Linked DNA regions of Danio rerio. The main gene of each other region encodes a partner of the protein of the gene in region 3 in a complex. Links are inferred from orthologs where the notes say so. Each region holds a gene or a part of one and is shown on either strand. Other genes may lie near its edges.

Region 1 (5,428 bases), on a different chromosome or scaffold from region 3:
GTCTGGAATATGGCACTTAGTATCTTACTCTGACTTCCGTCTCTCTGGGACTGCCGTTTAAGTCACATTTTGAGCCATTGACATATGACTGACTGTGATACCTCTTCAGCTTATGCTGCTTAGATGCCTGAAAAAAAAAGATCAACAAGATTTTAATTTTGTAACTACAAAATATATAGAAGATAACTACAGACTTGTTAACATAAAAGTGGTTAATAAAAAATATTTACTGCTAGTATCAGAATTCCTAATTTGAATTGACAACATTTACAGACATTTTATTAGGACAAGCAAATCAAGATTAACAAACCTGACCTTACCTTTGCAGTTTCATTCGTCCAGTCAAACTCTGTATCATAATATCCCAAAAACAGTACATCTCCCTTGATCTCCGAATCTGCGATCACATATAGGGAACACATTTCAAACATCTTGAAATATTTAATAGTATATATTTATAGGCAGTGCATTTTCCTGAAAGGCTTCTGTCCTAAATTCTCTAAATTCCTTTCCATCTACTAATAAAAAACATGTTTATACAGGCAGTGCATATATATTTTTTAGACCATGTAAAACTCAATTTATCCAAGACACATTAGATAAAAGATTTAACCTGCCTTCTAAGTGGTATTGTCTGATGTGCTGGCCGTAGCAGAACTCATAGGTCCACCAGTCTTTGGTCTGCAAACAAAACATGAACAAGCTTCAGATCACAGCGACATGTAGTTTATCATTTTAACATGACCTAAAATGACTATAAATGTACATCATTTATTACGTCTTAATTTACACATACTCTACATAGCCACTCCAAATGTGCTTTTTTTTCAAAACAACATTTTTGATTGAGAGAATATGATCAGAGAGAACAGTTTTTACTTTATTACTACAAACTTTTACACAAAACAGAAAATTCTGTCATCAATTACCCACTCTTCACTTGTTCCAATCATGTTTGACTTTCTTCTGATAAACACAAAATAAGATATTTAGAAAAAAGCTGGAACCATTCATTTCCATAGTATTTGGTTTTCTTACCATGAAAGTCAGATGTTGCTGGTTGCAAACTTTCTTAACAATGTTTTTATTTTGTTTGAAACCACACGAGGGTGAGTAAATTTTTATTTTTGAGACTCTTTAAGTACCTGCACTTTATTGGGGTATTTTATTATGGGAATCTTTTGCTTAACTGCAAAGCATAATATTTGACTTTTTACACCCTTATATTTGTTAAAAAATGTGTTATATTTATTTATATTCAATTTGCAAATCGCACTGAACCATTTATTTTTAACTGAAGTGGACAATTCTCAAGTCTGAATGGAAGATGCTTTAAGACTGACTCAACTGTAAATTAAAATATAATTTATTCTAGTTAATGGAGTTTACTTTAAACACGCACTTCAGTTTTTGTCAGCTTCTGCTTTGAATTCTTGAGCTTTGGCTGTCAATATGTTAATTTTTTTCAGAAGTTTTATAAAACTATATCTCATGATTATACAATAGTTATCGTTGTTGGCGTAAATGGGAATTTAGACCATTTTTGTATAGTTGTTTTAATATGCAGGAATATATGCTGTATTTTATTATTGGCTGCACACTTGCATTATGATTATCAAATAATTTTTATAGAACATTATACTATAATGGCCGAGAGAGCTTAACATGGTGCAATTTTAAGAAAGCACATGCAATTACAAAAAATGGTAATTAATTAGGAACAGATGTTCATCCGTTTGACAGCACATGTGACGCAAATCCTCACAACGGAAACACATTTTTAAAAAAACATTGCATTCTCACAACACAAACAAATTAATAAAATGTGCTGCATTTTCTTACAACGCATTCAAATAGCCTCGTAACACAACGGAAATGTTTCAAGGGGATCTAAATCATGAGAGACCTGGATATTTAGGTTTTGGCTATTTAGGATAATAACTACTAAAGACAAGGGAATCAGGATGTTCCAATAAACAAACCAAGAGAACTCACCTTTCAACAATCACCTACAATTTCAATGAGCAATAGGCATGGCACAGAAGCGCCTGTCACATTCATGGGTCCACCTGAAACATTTCCATTGTGTTCTGATGTATTGCGTTGAGAGAGAATGCAGCAGGTTTTCGTAAATCGTTTGTGTTTTGTGAAAATGAAGCACATTTTTAATGTGTTTGCGTTGTGGGGATTTGCACCATGTGTGCTGTCAAATAGATGAAGATATTTTTCTTAATTTACTGGCGGTTTTTTGTAATTCCTTTTGTTTTCTTAAACTGCAGCACATCAAGCTCTCTCTGCCACCGTAATATACATTAAAAGAATATTAGTAATCAAAAAAAATGTTTCTTGTAAAATAAACATTCAGCAGCCAGTACTTAGTAATAATATGTTCATTTTAAGACTAAACTACATCAAAAGCACTTTCAAACTTTTATTGGAGTCATATTTTATTATTATTTTTAATTTGTGTGCTTCATCCACCACTCCAGACTACACAACTTCTAATATCTATCTAGATCTGTGCCTGTGGATGAGTATATTCAGAGCTTGTGTATATTTAGTGTGCGAGTGACTGTGACAGAAACTACCTTAATCAGACATGCTGCCGTCTGCATGGGCTTGAGGAGCTCAGGGACCCCGGGGCCGCTGTAACCCTGCACATCAGGCTCTGACACCGGGTCCTGATGGAAACGCACTGCCTGAGCTGGTAAACGACACTCATACAGCTGCTTGTATTTGTTAGAGACCAACATTACATCTTCCATCTGAAAACAGGAATAGAAAGTCAAAATTAGAAAAGCAGAACTAGGGAGAGGTGCAACAGTTTACAACACAATCAAAAATGTAACTTCACCATGCTCATTTTCAACATATATATTAAAGTCATATTGTATTTACAATCAGGCACAATCTGTAGCATACCTGTGGAGGCACAGTCCAACTAACGTTATGCTAATAACCTGTCACAGCTAATTTACCATTCTTTAATTTAGCTATTGTTTTACTATCCTATATTCGACTATTAGACACCGAAACACGTAGTTGTTAATGGCAAATGTGCCATGCTGTGCTTAAAGCTAACAGCTGTTTGTTTGTATCAAACAAACATCCCCAGCTAGCTGCATCCCACAATCCTACCTGTCCCATGATAACAGGATCGGGGAGAATCTGTATGCCATATTTCATTTCGTTTAATTCTTCTAGATTCAAAAAGGCAAAGACAGACAGGAGACATGTTAAGAAAAACACATATAATCCTCTTAACCACTTAATCAAGGAGGAAGCCATAGTTCTCTCATATCGCAAACAAGCGTTGTCAAATGATTTGTTATTTGGTGCATGGCAGAGCGCTCTAGGGAACGTGGATTGGACAACGTTGTTAAAAGCGGACACCTTATTGGATGTTCAAAACGTCAGTCATGTTCAAAACGTGCGCTTATTGGAAAGCGTGTTGTAATTACCACCCATCATCCACGAAAATGAGTTCTATTGGACCCGCTGAGAACATGATAAGCAATGTAGTGTTACGTTTTAGACTCACGGGGCCGCTGTGGAACACATGAGAACCGCAGCCTGTCAAAATGATGAGAACACACACTGAAGTTTGAGATGGTGCTTTTGTCAAAATCTAACAAGTGAGAAATACACTCTGTAAGTGAGAAATATAAAGATAAAGTAAAATGTAATGTAGATTTTAGCAATAAGCAAACCACATATTAAGATGACATCCTTGACTTAAATATGATTAATTAGTTAATTATGATAAAGTTATTACACTAACATTCATTCATTTTCTTGTCGGTTTATCCCTTTATTAATCTGGGGTCGCCACAGTGAAATGAACCACCATCTTATCCAGCAAGTTTTTACGCAGCGGATGCCCTTCCAGCCACAACCCATCTCTGGGAAACATCCACACAGACATTTACCCACACACTCATACACTACAGACAATTTAGCCTACCCAATTCACCTGTACCACATGTCTTTGGACTGTGGGGGAAACCAGAGCACCCGGAGGAAACCAACAAGAAGGCAGGGAGAACGTGCAAACTCCACACAGACACGCCAACTGACCCGAGGTTCAAACCAGCGACCCAGCGACCTTCTTGCTTTAAGGCGACAGCACTACCTACTGCGCCACTGCCTCGCTTATATAGCGCTTTTTTTGGACACTCAAATCGCTTTACACATTTTTGGGTGAATCTCCTCATCAACCACCAGTGTGCAGCATCCAGATACCATTGACGCGACGGCAGCCATATTGCTCCAGTCCAAACCGCACACCAAACATCAGCTGATTGGTGGAAAGGAGACAGAATGATGAAGCCAATTATGATGGGGAGGAGGCCATGATGGACTAAAGCCAGTGGGGAGTTTTGGCCAGGATACCTGGTTTTAACCCCTACACTTTTTTGAAGGACATCCTGGGATTTTTAATGACCACAGAGAGTCAGGATCTCGTTTTAACGTCTCATCCGAAAGATGGCATGTTTAGGTTATTCATTAGCAGTTGAAGTTGAAGTTGTCCAGATGCAAAACATTTTTCTCATCCTCCTTTGTTTATGTTGAGATATTTCACTTTAGGCTAAAGACCATAAAAAGATGTAGCCTATCCTTTGCCATAAACGTTATATTACTGAATCTACACAAAATTCAGATGGTATTAAGAAGATATTGCATCTGAACTCTTCAGTTTTTTTCAAAGTGAATAATGAAACGGAATAATTGAAACATACAGAGATAAAGTCTAGGTGCAGTTTTTTTTTCTTTTTTTTACTGCTGGCAGTACATTACATTTTACAGCAGGGAGCACTTATGAAAATAATATTTTTTTTCGCTATGTAAAGAAATCTAAGTTAAATAAGTTACATATACTATACAGCCCACAATTGGGGCAAAATTTTAAAATGTTAAACTTTATTTGAAAAAAACAAAGGTTTTTTTGTGAATACATCGTCAGTGAATTAAAGACGTTAGAATCATGGCAAGAAAATTTAACAACTAAATGAAAGTGAGGCATTGAGAATAACCAAAGGAAACCTCACAGAACAGTGTCAATTGTGTCAATCAGTGTCATTTTTAAACCTGATCATGACTTTTTCCTTCGGCTTCGGTCCCTTTATTCATCAGGGGTCGCCATAGGAGTATGAACTGCTAACTTATATGTTTTACACAGCGGATGCCCTTCCAACTGCAACCCAGTACTGGAAAACATCCATACTCACTCATTTACAGGCATATAATACGGCCAATTTAGTTTATTCAATTCACCTATGGAGCATGTCTTTGGACTGTGCGGGACACCGGAGCACCAGGAGGAAACACATGTGAACACGGGGAGAACATGCGAACGCCACACAGAAATGCCAACTGATCCAGCCGGGGCTTAAACCGGTGACCTTCTTGCTGTAAGGCGACAGTGCTA
Region 2 (5,469 bases), on a different chromosome or scaffold from region 3:
AATTTATCTTTCTATTATAGCAATACTGTCTCAGTTGGATAGAGCAGTGAAAAAGGCGGTGTAATTACAGTGAGCAGTATGATGCTGGGGGGCTTCATGGGGTATTCAGGAGGAAGAACGATCCGGCCGTGATAAACTCCTCCATCGAAATCAGAGTCTGGAGGTCCTCGAACGGAGAAGTGCCACTCGAACAGGTTATCCTGATCAACACAAGACAGTCACACTGAGTATAATAACACTGCAATTACTGCATGCAAGCTTGACTTCAACATGGATGATCACACACAGAGTAATAATCTAATCTGAATCTTCATGCAGATAAAACAAGCTCTCCATGCATAGGCAATAAATGCTCACAAATCGTTTATGGATGTTCCTCAAAATGACAAAAACCTTATTTGAAATCTGTGTGAAATCAAAAGGAGTACAATGTTTATCTTGCTAGCTCATATTGTCTCTTTAAATTGAATAATTAATCAGTGTAAGTTAAAAGTTTGAGTAAAAAAAAAAAGGTTTGTTTTGGTAATCTTCAATCAAACTCTGAGCATCTGCTTCTGTGTTTGGAGTGGTTGTCTTTCTGTTGATGCCAACCTGAGGGTTGCTATAGCAACTGCATATTAATGTTCCTAACCACGCCCCTCTTACTGTTAGTTTGCTACAAGGAAATGATGCACAAAAGGAAAGCCCCACCCCCTACTCAATATTCCGTTTCAGTTGGAAGCACATCAACATACTGAAGTCTCAGCAACTTCTGGTTCAGCCAGATTCAGTACACTTCAAAAGTCTGAAGAATAATCAAGCTATTTAAAAAATAATAAAATGCTTTTAATATCTTGAAATAATTAAAGTCTATTTGAATAATGAATTATATAAAATGATAAAAGTATTTATGTAACAAGTTAATGAATAAAATATAAATTACAACTGTTGTTTTGCATTTTAACTGCATTTTGTGCATTAAAAACTTACATTTAATAACACAACAAATACACATTTTTATAGTTTAATGTTGACTGATTTAGCGTTTTAATAATAGAAGTTACAAAATGAATCCTAATTAAATATAATTTATTATCAACTTCAGATTTTTGATTGACATCAAACTTTTAAAAGATCATAATAATTATAAAAAAATTGATGTAACAATTCAGTCAATTAAATATAACTAATAACTGTTTACATTTACATAACAACTAGTTACGTTTATAATATTCAACATCAAACATAATAATCGCAAAAAATAATACTAATTTTCATAGTCGAATATTCAATGTTTTAGCATTTTAACAGTTCTTGACAGTTCATAGTTACACGATAAATCATAATTATTTCAATAGAATTGATCAACTTGATTGACTTCAAATTCGGATCAATTCAAATTTATGAACAATTTAATAAATTAAATATAAATAACTCCATTTAAATAACAAGATGCATTTAAAACGTTTAACATTTATAATACGAACAACAATGAATAATACTAATTGTCAGTCTAATATTCATTGTTTCTTCTGAACATTTACAGAATTAAACATTCTGTAACTTCTGTTATTAAAACGTCAAACAAGCAAGACACAAACAGCGCTACAGAAAACACACGTTTCACATAAAGTTACACACTAAAACAGATGATAACGCATGAAGAAACTCCCAGAAATTCAATTCCTATAAATAATAAAGTCTCACCTCCAGTGGCTGAGCGTGATAATGTTCTGTGGGGTCACGAAGCTCTGCCGCCTCCTTCATCAGCCTCTTCACAGCTAACACACACACACACACACACACACACACACACACACACACACACACACACACACACACACACACACACAGTATTATTAGTTTACTAAATTTGAAAATTTGCCTAGTTTAACAAAAGCAGGGTTTATTGAACAGAGAATGGTCAGGCAAGCAACGATCAACACAAGGGCAAACAGATGTATACAGGCAGATCCAGAGTCATGCTCATATAACAGGCGGATGGTCAAAAGGCAGGCAGCAAACAACGTAAAACAAACAAAACAAAGCAAAGGTCAGACACGGAAGGCAAGGAAACCACGTCGTGATGTTCCCAATTCAGCATAACAAGACTCAGCCATGAGAGTGAACGTGTCAAGGCGAGACAGACGTGTGTGTGGTATAATCAGTACAAGAGCAGCTTCAGACTTTGAGCAGGTGTGTGTGTGTGGTGCATGACTGGAACTTGTAGTCCATGTAATGGTGGATGAGTGCATCTGAATGCAATGCTCAACACAGGTTGGAAATTTACTTGCGGTGGTGGCAGAATTGAAACACACCATTTACCTACAGCACATAAATAGTTAACTACAAACACACACATTTATTAAACACACACACACACACACACATTATATACACTCAGACACACATTACAAAGACACACATTACAAAGACACACACGCACACACACATTCATTAAACACAACCCCATTACAAACACACCCAATCATTACAAGCACTCATTTAAACACACACACACACACACATTACACTCAGACACACATTATAAAGACACACACAAACACACTCACTCAATACATACACTCATTTAAACACACACACACACACACTACACATACAAATGCATTACATACACACACATTACAAAGACACACACACACACACACACACACACACTACAAACACACACACTCACACACATGAAAAAGACACAAACACACACACACACGGAAAAGACACATGCATCAAAATGACAAGCATACACTACAAACACACACACACACACACACACACACACACACACACACACTACTAGCACACAAAATAAAAAGACACACACACAAACACACTACAAAGACACACATTAAAAACACACATAAATTACAAACACGCACACAATCAATCATTTATTACAAACTAATATTCATTACACACACACACACACGCACACACACCTGTGACTGCGGCTAGTAACGTAAGTCTACCGTTAGCTAGCTCGACACAGTGAAAAGACCGGCTGGACGGATGGATGAGTGCAGATGTTATGGTGTGGTTTATAGCTCGCGACAGCAGTGTGTGTGTGTGTGTGTGAGAGAGAGAGATAGAGATCAGAGGTTTGACTCACCTGGACTCTTCAGGTTGTATTTGCTCTCCATGATGCTCAATAATCCGGCGCTCGGCTGATCTGCGCTCCTGTGAGTGTGTGTTTATCCGCCGAGTGTGTGTTGTGTGAGCTCTGCCAGGTGTTTATCTAGAGCTGTAACCCTGACGTGGCAGCGCGCGCGGTGTGTGTGTGTGTGTTTTTACACACTTTCGAGATGAAATGTCTCAGATGTCACATGAAGAAAAAATGAAAACAGGAAGTAAACTTGTATTTTACAACGGAAAGCTTTATTGATGCGCCTGACAAGAACAACAGTGAGATTTGACGTCATGATTTTATGTTTTAAAAGTCTCCGTGAACCGGACGTTACTGAGACTTTTATTTCAGTATGTTGATGCGGGTTGACGTACTTCCAACTAGCTGTACGTATGCCCTGTGTAAAATGTTTAAATGTTGCTATATTTCTAAACAGCAATAAAAAATTATATATAAAAAACATATTTTAACTAAAACGAAATATTGAGTAGGGGCGGAAATGTTTTGTAGAAGGGATAACGTTATTTTTTTTTAAAAAGAATGGGATTGTTAGTAAATGTTGAACTATGGTTATAAATGCTGTATGTATTGTTCATTATTATAAATTTTCTCATTATTAGATTTTGTATACTTCCACTATGTGGTTTAGACTCAATATCAGTCCAAAAATATTAGTGGGGTATATGCACACGGACTTTTATTTTCAGTCAGCCAGCCTCAGGGCTTCCGGTTAATTGTCATCCCATACAAAATAAGATCTGATTTCTTTAAAAAAAATCAGTGATCTTCACTGCCTGGCTAAGATAGGATATAAAGTGGGTATCAGTCCAAGCAAGAAGCACTGCATTAAGTTATATTTCCCCCTGCCATGTCTTTAAAATATGGAAATTAATTTTACCTCAGTATTTTCAATGGAGTTTCTGCGCTCGCCTGCGGGTAATGATGGTGCCTGCGTTTAAACTGTCTTTCGTCTCTTTTTACGGTTTAACAACTAAATTAATGCTTTAGTCTATTGAACTGAATGCATTTTAATTACATTACAACATCAAGGCTGTAAAAGGAACCTTATGAAATTGAAAATAGTCACATAAAGATCTCACAGGAAGTTCATCATTGGCACTAGCTGTGCATAGAGCCGACAAATATTAAAGATTACATTTTTACATTAAAGCTATTTCGTGTTATAGTTACAGGATATGTATGCCTGCGAACACAAAGGGGGAAAAAACAGAATCTAAACAAAAATAATAAAATATGCAGGAATAAAACGGGAAATTGTCAAGAGAAGCTTTGTGAAGTCACGAATGGATGAACAAACTTTAATCTGTTTCTTGATTTAAGAAAAATTAAAGTCAACCCTGCTTATGCAACAGAATCAGATCAACCCGTTTAAGTGTTATAATAATAAATGTGAAATAAATTATGTGGAACGAAGAATGTAACACAATAATAATTTTGGAGTGACTAGTAAAATAATGGGCAGCCATCATGAAAATCTGCGAACATAATTGTATTAAATATAGACTTACTACAATTAACTCCGCAATTTAATTCTGACAATTATTATAAAATACTGAAAATACATATTAGATTCTTCAAGTAGATGGCGGTATTCGGCAACCAACCGGTTGTTGCTAGAAGGGATACAGCAACGGACGGAAGTTAGCGAGAATTATTTGTTCTATTCATTAATTTATACGTTAATTTTATTTTATTAACGTCTACCCCTACTTCAACACTAAACCTAATAATCACGGTAATGTTAAACCTGTAATTATACCTAGCATTATTCATATTATTTATTATATTACCCATTAAATTGTATTTTGTTAACGTCTACCCCTATCCTAACCCTAAACACAACCCGTATATTAATTATTGTACAGTCACACAAAAATTATGCTATACTGACGTGATTATCCGCAGCTGTATCCCTTCTAGACTAACTCTTCGTCAGATACAAAAGATGAAAAAGAAAACGCAGGTCTGGATCGGTTAACTCCTCCCCTTATTGCGCACTATCAGCGCACTACACAGCAAATGTGGGCGTTTCTGAATTTGAGGGTGTTTCCAAAATAATGGGTTGTTCCAATGAACATGATCGACCACACCCCTAAACCGCTGTCACTTTGAATCGAGCCAATCAGGTAGGACAATGGAAAAACGCCCCTCTAGTTTCACACAACAATTCCCTCCCACCACTTTCCTGCAGAGGAAAGAACATGGCGGTGTCTCGGTTACCACCAGCGGCTCTGAGTCTCAAACAGGTAAAGTCACGGTAAATCTTTGCTTATAAGTGTCTTACATTGGCGATAAAGCAAGTATAGATCGACAGTGAGCTGATCTTC
Region 3 (3,915 bases):
TTGAGCAAAACTACTAAATATATATTTTTAAAAACATTATTTTACTCTTTAATTGCCAAATTTATAAATGATGTCACTGATTTGGTGAAAAAAGATGTATTTTTAAGGTAAAAAGTAATTGTGGACTGTTTCTTTAAAACAAAAATTTTAAAACACAGTCTTGGACATGTGAAAGATCAGTACCAACATTGGCTTTGACACATTGTTAGATTAATTTACTTACTTTTTGGTGACTGTTTTTGCTACATTGACTTCCAATATAACCACATTTGATGGTGCATAAATACACACACAGTCTTTGTTTTTATTTAGTCATTGTAGTTCTGAGAGCTGAGATGCATATTTTGATTTTATCAGACACTCAGTCAAGGCAAGTGCGCAAAGTTCACTCTCACAGACACACAATTTAATCTGCTGTTATATTCCATATAAAAGCCAGAAACTAGGCTTTTTTTGCACAGGCCTATCTAAAGGGTTAATGTTGCAAACTAATGATCAATGGTAAAAATCAAAATCAAATGGGAATCAAAAACAATGCATCAAAGGGAATGTTGTTTCACATTCAAGAGTTTGATCAAATGTAATAGAAAATCCAGTCCACAACTACTTTCTATAAAGAAAATCCATCATTTTGTGTTTGTTCACCAAATCAGTAACTAAAGAGTTAAAATCCTGAAATTTTCTAAGAAATGTAGTATTTTTGATCAAGATTGAAGCTGAATAACAGATTTATCGGATGCATTTTTACAGCAGTTTAGTTTAGTGGTATTTTCATCCCGAACATAACAAAAGGGTAGGAAACCTTGTCATAGTGCACCATTGAGTTTTAAAATAAGTGTCAAAATATAATGTCACCAAAAATCATTCAGCTAGCTGAAACAGAAACAGTTAAATTAAATTAAAACTCAAAAATCACCCCAGAGAGGCTATAAAACATGCAACAGCACATATGGGTAATACATGTACACAAGCCACCAACTGGATGAACTAGCTGCATAATGCATGTATCTGACCTAGGAGAAATACAAACTATAGTAAGATCAAAGTATTTACATTACATTTTTAAATGATGAACTCAAACTTGGGAAAAAACAGCTTTCAGATTCAGAACTTTCAGATAGATGTTTAAAATTAAAAAAAAACTACACAAGAAAAAGTGATACAAATAAAATCAAAACCCTGTTACATTTCTATGACACTATTCAAAGAGCTTCAAAGTGAAACTGAAATGAGGAAATTGTGTTTATTGTTTTCATTTTCTGGTACAAAGAGGCTTACTTTCATGATGTTAATAACAAAGCTTGATTATACATAATCTGAAATGACAGCAATGCTACAGTGTTGATAAATATCAGATTACAAATCAGTCATTTGAATTTTTCATATATATTATTAGTTATATTTTGTTCTCCTCTTTTGCAGGTCCCAAAGTGCAGTTCCATCATGTCATGAAGATGCGATATTCAAAGTGTGGTTCATTCACCTTCTGCTCATCCCGAGGTCACCAACAAACTCTCCTCATTGAATTGCAAATTCCACTCACAATACTTGAACGCGTCCCTCATAAATATTAACATTACTCATTTCACAGGTCGAGCACAATTAAAAAAGAGAACATGTAGGCATACTTTACTTGCATAAACGCCATTAGCTTCAAAGTACCACAAATGCATTTTCCCAAGCACTTTCCATCTTTTCATGCGCTTAGAACAAAATCAATATGTGGCCTTCGTCGTCCATCATACTAGAACCTTAATAAGATAATCCCATGAGTTTAATCCTTGGACACTCATCGAGGAGCACTTCAAAAAAATGAAGTCTTGGTGACAGAAGCCTACATAAGAGGATCAGGTCAGGCAACCGACACTATCGATTCCAGCCGTTGCGGTTATCTAAAGTGCTGTGCAAAAACTGTCCAGCGATATTTACAACTCCATGTCCAAGCACTTGTTTGTTTAGAATGTGCAGCCATAGGTCACACAGCCAAAAGAACTGGAAAGTGCTACCACTTCTAGGATTTGTAGCCTTTGTTTATAATGTCCTGTCCTAAGAGCTTGATAGTTCAGTTTTTGTCATTTCTGTCTGACTGCTTCTGGATCAGTTTGCAATACCCTGTGGAGGCTCAGGTATCAGAGAAGCAAAAAAGGCTTTAAAAAACACCCAGGCAGTCCATAGGATGGGTGCTCTGACTTGGGGAACAGGCACTGCTGTCATCGCGGGGTCAACAACACCAACATCCTCCACTTCAGCAGGTGGCGCCACCTTTAAAAAAGGATGTAAGAATAAGGATAAGCCACACACATTTACACTGACTTCTGCTATGACAAGCGTCAGTTGAAGAATCAATAGAATGATGAAGATGATGCAGTCAGTGCAAGAACTTAAAAACACTGCAAATAAAAATACTTTTTCCTTGTTTTCTTATTGAGGCATGCTCAGAGCAAAATCACCGCTCATGTTAACTGTGAGGTATCATTTCAGAATGTGGGTCAATGAATTCATCACTGAGGGATGACACTAAACTCCAGGTTAGTTTTCTTGTGCAACTGTGTCTTTACTTTTCCTTTCCTTTGTAATATTTTTCCTCAGGCCAACTTAAATCCTCTCCAACTTAAATAGTTTGCAAATCATTTGCTACCAGTTTTCTTATGCTCACAAACATACATGACGCAACTGTTTATGGTTTTTGTAACCTATAAAGCCACTTAATTGTAAATACTTTCATATAAATATTTTTATTTCTTATTTGTACAGTTAAAAAAAAAGAAAGTCAACAATGCACATATTGCACAAACCTTATCTATCTATCTATCTATCTATCTATCTATCTATCTATCTATCTATCTATCTATCTATCTATCTATCTATCTATCTATCTATCTATCTATCTATCTATCTTCCACTTGTTTAATCCACTTATTTAAATGTCATTCTGTGTTCTTGTGTTGATATGTATGTACCCAGAATACCTTGTTTTACGCACACATGGTGAATAAAACTCATATTTATTGTCATTCAGTATGACAACTGAGATCCAACACTTTGACATGAAGTTGACCATTTTTATGCAGTCTAACAAGCTACAATCTTTTAGGATTATAAAAAAAAATATATATAAATATATATATTTATTATCATCTATACAACGATGACCGTTTTCTTACATTTGATTGTTTAATTTCTTCACTTGAATACTGTTACACTTTCCAAAAAACTATAAAAATCACTGTTTATTTGGCTTGTAATTTATTATAAGTTATGTAGATCCACCACATAGAAAAAAACTTGATCATTCCTGTCAATCTAAATCCCTGTAATCTTTCTAAAGTTATCTAATGAAACTATATTCATATTGCAAAATATAAATCACAGAACAATATACATGCATACATACATACACACACATAGATACCACACACCAAAGATGGACAATATTGGTAAAATCTGACATTGTGATATTTTGTTTTCTGCAATTTATATTTAGTATATATATCATTTTATTAGGTGATTTAAATACCTCTATTTGGAAAGATTACATCAATTTAAGTCGACTGGAATGATCTTATTTTTTATTTATGCAGTGGAGCTACAAAAATTATAATAAATTAAAAGCTAAATAAACTGCTAAATGGGTTTTATGGGGAGTATTTAAGTACAGAAATCAAACAATCAAAAGTAAAATAACATGGCCATCATTGTATAAATAAAAAAAATAATAAAAAACAAAACAATAATGTAAAAAAATGGCAAAGAAATAAATATATAAATGAATATTTTTTTAAATAGTTTTAAAAACAAATTATTTAAAAATAATAATAATTAATAAACAAAACAATTAAATAATAATAATAAAAATAATTAAATATAAATATATCTTTTACAAATATTGTAATATAAATGCTCAGATAAATGCGC
Region 4 (5,249 bases), on a different chromosome or scaffold from region 3:
CATTCCTTCTCAGTGCTTCTTGATAAAAAAAGTGTTATGTTTAGGAGTATGTGTCATTAAATTTATGTTGACATACATGTTAAAATGCAGAAAATATTGAGAATAAATCAGTTCATTTTCACTGCAAATTCTAAATCATGTAAAAGACACTGTCGCCATCTAGTGGTAATGAATTTAAACAAAGATGACTAACTTTCTTTTTTGGGGTTGGGGGGTTGTGTAGAGCTTTATTTTGTTGAAAGAATTTCAATCTACTTAAACGAGTCAACAATAAAACTGTAATCGGGATGATACAATATAGAATCTTGGTCAATAAATCAAAAATATAGAGCAGAGAAAACTACATGTGCTTAGCTCGCCATCTTTATAATGAATCCACACGTTATTAACACCCAAAAACATTCTAAAATTGTTAAATGAATGTTTTCTGGGGTTAATAACGTGTGGATTTTTTATTAAGAAGAACATTTAATTTATGTGCTCATTAATAAAACTTTTCTTCAAAACACGAAAATATAGTAGGCCTATTTGTCAACATTATATTTATGTAAATATAAAAAATCAGATAGATAGATAGATAGATAGATAGATAGATAGATAGATAGATAGATAGATAGATAGATAGATAGATAGATAGATAGAATAAAAATAAAGCAGCCTTAAGTCTCCAGCACTACCATTTTTTCTGTAAAAAAATTATTTTACCATTACGTAGGCTATTATAACACTTATTTTATTCAATGCCTTTATTCATTCATTTTCGGCTTAATTACTTTATTCGTAAGGGGTCGCCTAAGCAAAATGAACCACAAACTTATCCAGCATGCCCTTCTAGCTGAAACCCAGTACTGGGAAACACCCATACACTCTCATTCACACAAATACACACGGCCAATTTAGCTTATTTAATTCACCTGTACCGCATGTCTTTGGATTGTGGGGGATATCGGAGCACCCGGAGAAAACTCACGCAAACACTGGGAGAACATGCAAACTCCACACAGAAATGCCAACTGACCCAGAAGAGGCTCGAACGAGCGACCTTCTTGCTGTGAGGAGAACAGTGCTAACCACTAAGCCACCATTTTACCCATATTTATAAATTATTGTAAAAATCTGATAATATAAATAAATAAAGTAATAAGTCACTAGCAGGTTAATTACTTTTTTCTGTAAGTATAAATATTTTACCATTACATCCCTGCTAAAAAAACGCTTAAACTAGCCTAGGCTGGTTGACTGGTTTTAGCTGATTGACCAGTCTGGTTTTAGAGGGGTTTTGGCCATTTCCAGGCTGGTGTCCTGTCATTTTCAGCCTGGTCTTGGTCAGGCTAGAAAATAGGCTGGTTTAAGCTTTTTCAGCAGGGATATAGTATCTACTTTCAATATTTTACTAGCTACAAATAAAAAAATTATTTAAATCGTTTATAGTTATATGACTTCTGTGTTGAATAACCGATTGTTATTAACATGGTAACACTTTACAATAAAGGTTTCATTTAACATAAGTTTAACTACAGCATTAGTTAACATAAACACAGAGAATTTATTTACGGTTAATTTAACATTAAAGTGTTAGTAAACATTTACTAACCGATAGCTTACTGGAACTGAGCTAACAAACTAACAATAATCAATCCGATATGTTTAATTAACCAAAATGAATAAACACGAACAATGTAGCTCATTTCTCTGCTATGAACCTTTTTGTAAACTTTGCAGGCTGCAACATTATTGAATAACACGGGGGTGCACAAATGGCGGGCATTTTTTATTTGAATCTACGTGACCAGTTTGCACAATCGTTTTGCTACAAAAAACTAATTATGAAAATTTAGTTTCATTCGCTTGTCAAAGATATTAAAGTAAAAACACAAAACAACTCCAAGCACGTTGCACCACGGGTACAATGGTATATTCCAGCTTAAATGAGCAGTTGTCATGGCCGTTCTCTGAGAAGATTAGCCTCTTTAGTGAGTGGAAGGAAGTGAAAATAGGATTTATTTAAGAGGTGAACATGGCAAAGAAGAACAGTGCGAAAGAGGCGGACAAAAACGGCGAAGGAGCCAATGACGATGATAAGATGACAACGAACGAGTACTGCGCGCGGCTGCAGCAGTGGATGTGGCGCTACTACAGCGGATATGTGAGCTGGCAGAGCTGGGTGTTGATGTCCGCGCCGCTCTTTCCTCCGCCTCAGTTCGGTTGCCAGGCACCGGGCAGCTCTGCATCCGTGTATCCCACAACGCCGGCGGACATCGCCGCCTGGTACAACCAAATGAGCAGCCCGGGAGCCATCCGTCCAGCAGACACCGCCACATCCAGCACTGGGGACAGAGGGGCAGCACAGCCCGCAGGTAGAGTAACTGTCAGTAACGCAGTCATCTGAGAAGAAAGACTAGTTAGCTTTAAACAAAAATCCTTAAAACACACGTTAATAAAGAACCTAATAAAATTCATTTACATTTTGTGTAAATTGTAGATTTTCCTTCACAGTCTCTATAGTTGTATTCACTTTGGTATTATGTATTTCCTAATTTAAAGGGATAGTTTACCCCAAAATTATAATGCACTCTGTCTTGTCAATGACTACTGACACCTTGAGTGTCAAAAAAACATGCAGAGGCAAAGTAAAACTAATACACGTGGCTCATGATGAAGATACATTGACAACATTTGAAGTGAAATGATATGCAGGAAACTGAACACACTTTATTTGTATATTACAATGCTGTGTTTTTATAACCATTATTCATTTGGTTTTGTAAATGTAAATTAATAGTAAATGTAATTTTTTGTGGTTCGCTCTGAAGATCACAAGTGATTCTATGCCACTTTCCCGCTCAGAATATGGAGCTATTTGTGTCAGTATTATAGTTCTTTAGTAGTGCTATCCAAGATCTGTGAAGAGATGATGATGCACTTCATTGAACATGTACAACAATGACATCACCTACATACTGTGTAACTGCAACTCAACTATGCTTATATATAATAACTTGAACTGTTAAAAGCTATTGCTTACTAGTTAATTAAAGTATTTACTAGCAATTAATACAGTTATGGTAACTAATAACTCAACTTTTCTGATTTTGATTATATTACAATAATTTGCATCTTTTGAAAAGCTGATTTGAAACAATAACTACTGTGAAAAGCGCTATATAAGTAACTTTAATTAAATTCAGTAGTACCTAGTATATTTAAACATTTTAAACAACAATAAAAAAGTCTAAAATGGGCATTTCCCGGCCAGTGTGTTCAATGTGAAATAATTTGATTCAAGAAACTAAAAAGCTTAAAGACTAAAAAGAACAACATTAATTTACATGACACGTACTACTATATGTTTTAATGCAAGAATCAAGTCAAATAAACTAACTTAAGAATGCACAGTTTTTGTGACAGTGAAAATATTAAACGTGCATCCATAGGTAGTCTTTCATAACATGATCTTTTTCCTTTCAGGTAGAGAATACATTATACCCTCTCCTCTACGCAGATTTCTGGCTGAAACTGTCGATTTCTTCATTCTCTTCTGTGTGAAAGCAACCATAGTGTTGTGGATCATGCATCTCTGTGGAATGAAGTGAGTTGAGAATATATATTTAAAAGAAAATACTTTTATTAAGACAGGATTTCAATTAAAATAAAATGCCCAAAAGACCACAGAAAAATCAGTAAGTGCTTTTATTTTTAAGCAACATCTGTTTTTAACATTGATAATGATTAGAAATGTTTATTGAGCACAGGAAAATATATTAAATAATAAACAGTTCTATTAGATTGTAATTATTTATGCATTATTAGGCCTACACCTTTAACATTATTTTGAGCAAATGACACATGGCATTTTAAATATATTGCATAGAGTATTGTATAATGACAGTTCAAATGTCTTCTTTGATCTTCTGAACAGAGATATTTCCAAATTCATAATGCAGTTTATAGTGGAAGAGATTGATGAGAACACGTCATTGGAGGACCTGCAGAAGATGATGGTCGTGGCTTTAGCATACAGAGTACTGGTGTGTGTTTATGAAGTAAGTGAGTCTCCTTGAGATTCTAGCATGTTTTTTTTTTCATCTTGGAAAAACAAAATTACAAACCTTGTATATATTCACAGTACATTTTTGATCAGCATTTTCATCCTTGTACTCTTGTTGCTTAATAACAGTATTTGGAGGGAAAACTCTGTGGTCTAAAGTGATTTGAATAAATTGTAGACATCTTGCCTGCACTCATACAGTCTGTTTTTGTCTTTTTCTGCAGATCATCTGTATTTGGGGAGCTGGAGGTGCCACTCCAGGAAAGTTTCTTTTGGGTCTTCGAGTCGTCTCATGTGACACGACAGTCCTGGTGCAACCGAATCGGGTTTTGGTGGTACCAGCATCCACTGTCAGCTTATCTGCGTGAGTTATGCATATATATATATATATATATATATCATCTTTTGTAAAACGGTTTGGACAGAACTGTGTGTAGGTATAGTTTGTCCACGGTCATATTAAAGTCATAGAAACACAAGAAGCCTCTTTTTTTTAAATTTCCTGATGTTAAAATAGGACCCAAATCCCAGTGATTTTGAGCCCCACTGCAACTTGACGTAAGAATGCGGTTTTCCCCGCCCACTGAATTGATTGACAGGTGCCATGTTTCTATAATAACATATATACACGTCAACAGAACATTTTTTTAAATCACTTCCAACTCTCTGTGATTTCTTTCACAGTTTTATAAGTTTAAAACGTTTGTAAAACAGAGCATGTTTCTAATAAAGAAAGTTAAATCGCTATCTAATTCTTAACTGCTATAACAACCACTTTGCTGACACCACGCATGGTGTCAGCAAATACAAATATATATGTGTGTGTACTGCAATTGGCATTTGTGTGTGACTCATCATTTTCGAAAGGCTTGAATAAACTCCAACACACATACATGAAAAAAGCTTAGTTGATATTTTTGACTGAGCTGTATTTGAGCTTTATCCATGTCTGTCTTTATTACTGACTGCTGTTTATCTGATGTAACGTGAAGCCGACATGCATGTGGGAGCGTTGGGCTGGGAGAAGCAGCTTATTTTTATTTAAAGCCACAGGCTACAAAAACAGCTACACTGTACTCAGACACCAAAATGGACAAATTCTGGAGGCTATATTAAATAATCTGATGGGTATTTTGACCTGAAACTTTACAGACACATTCTGGAGACACCAAAGGCGTATCTTACATTGTGTAAAAGGGGT

Evidence for each region.
Region 1: herpud1 (region 3) and os9 share a complex: the UniProt entries of both Homo sapiens proteins name them as parts of the HRD1 complex. The link is inferred for Danio rerio from reciprocal best matches to the Homo sapiens genes HERPUD1 and OS9.
Region 2: herpud1 (region 3) and ube2j1 share a complex: the UniProt entries of both Homo sapiens proteins name them as parts of the HRD1 complex. The link is inferred for Danio rerio from reciprocal best matches to the Homo sapiens genes HERPUD1 and UBE2J1.
Region 4: herpud1 (region 3) and fam8a1a share a complex: the UniProt entries of both Homo sapiens proteins name them as parts of the HRD1 complex. The link is inferred for Danio rerio from reciprocal best matches to the Homo sapiens genes HERPUD1 and FAM8A1.

What each region holds. Positions count from the first base shown.
Region 1 is NC_133181.1:41,765,112-41,770,539, forward strand, and holds the start of os9 (protein OS-9), read right to left. Parts: upstream 3,319-5,428; 5' UTR 3,289-3,318; coding exon 3,139-3,288; exon of another isoform or gene 2,766-3,138; coding exon 2,589-2,765; exon of another isoform or gene 2,565-2,588; intron 682-2,564; coding exon 618-681; intron 398-617; coding exon 321-397; intron 128-320; coding exon 29-127; intron 1-28. UniProt on the Homo sapiens protein: Lectin component of the HRD1 complex, which functions in endoplasmic reticulum (ER) quality control and ER-associated degradation (ERAD).
Region 2 is NC_133195.1:1,234,548-1,240,016, forward strand, and holds the start of ube2j1 (ubiquitin-conjugating enzyme E2 J1), read right to left. Parts: upstream 3,319-5,469; 5' UTR 3,138-3,318; coding exon 3,107-3,137; intron 1,761-3,106; coding exon 1,687-1,760; intron 201-1,686; coding exon 69-200; intron 1-68. Other genes in the region: lyrm2 (LYR motif-containing protein 2), read left to right, coding at 5,344-5,388. UniProt on the Homo sapiens protein: Catalyzes the covalent attachment of ubiquitin to other proteins. Functions in the selective degradation of misfolded membrane proteins from the endoplasmic reticulum (ERAD) and is essential for cells to recover from ER stress.
Region 3 is NC_133193.1:18,990,809-18,994,723, reverse strand, and holds the end of herpud1 (homocysteine-responsive endoplasmic reticulum-resident ubiquitin-like domain member 1 protein), read right to left. Parts: intron 2,263-3,915; coding exon 2,098-2,262; 3' UTR 1,230-2,097; downstream 1-1,229. UniProt on the Homo sapiens protein: Component of the endoplasmic reticulum quality control (ERQC) system also called ER-associated degradation (ERAD) involved in ubiquitin-dependent degradation of misfolded endoplasmic reticulum proteins.
Region 4 is NC_133194.1:34,653,779-34,659,027, forward strand, and holds the start of fam8a1a (protein FAM8A1), read left to right. Parts: upstream 1-1,931; 5' UTR 1,932-2,017; coding exon 2,018-2,357; intron 2,358-3,468; coding exon 3,469-3,589; intron 3,590-3,919; coding exon 3,920-4,043; intron 4,044-4,272; coding exon 4,273-4,412; intron 4,413-5,249. UniProt on the Homo sapiens protein: Plays a role in the assembly of the HRD1 complex, a complex involved in the ubiquitin-proteasome-dependent process of ER-associated degradation (ERAD).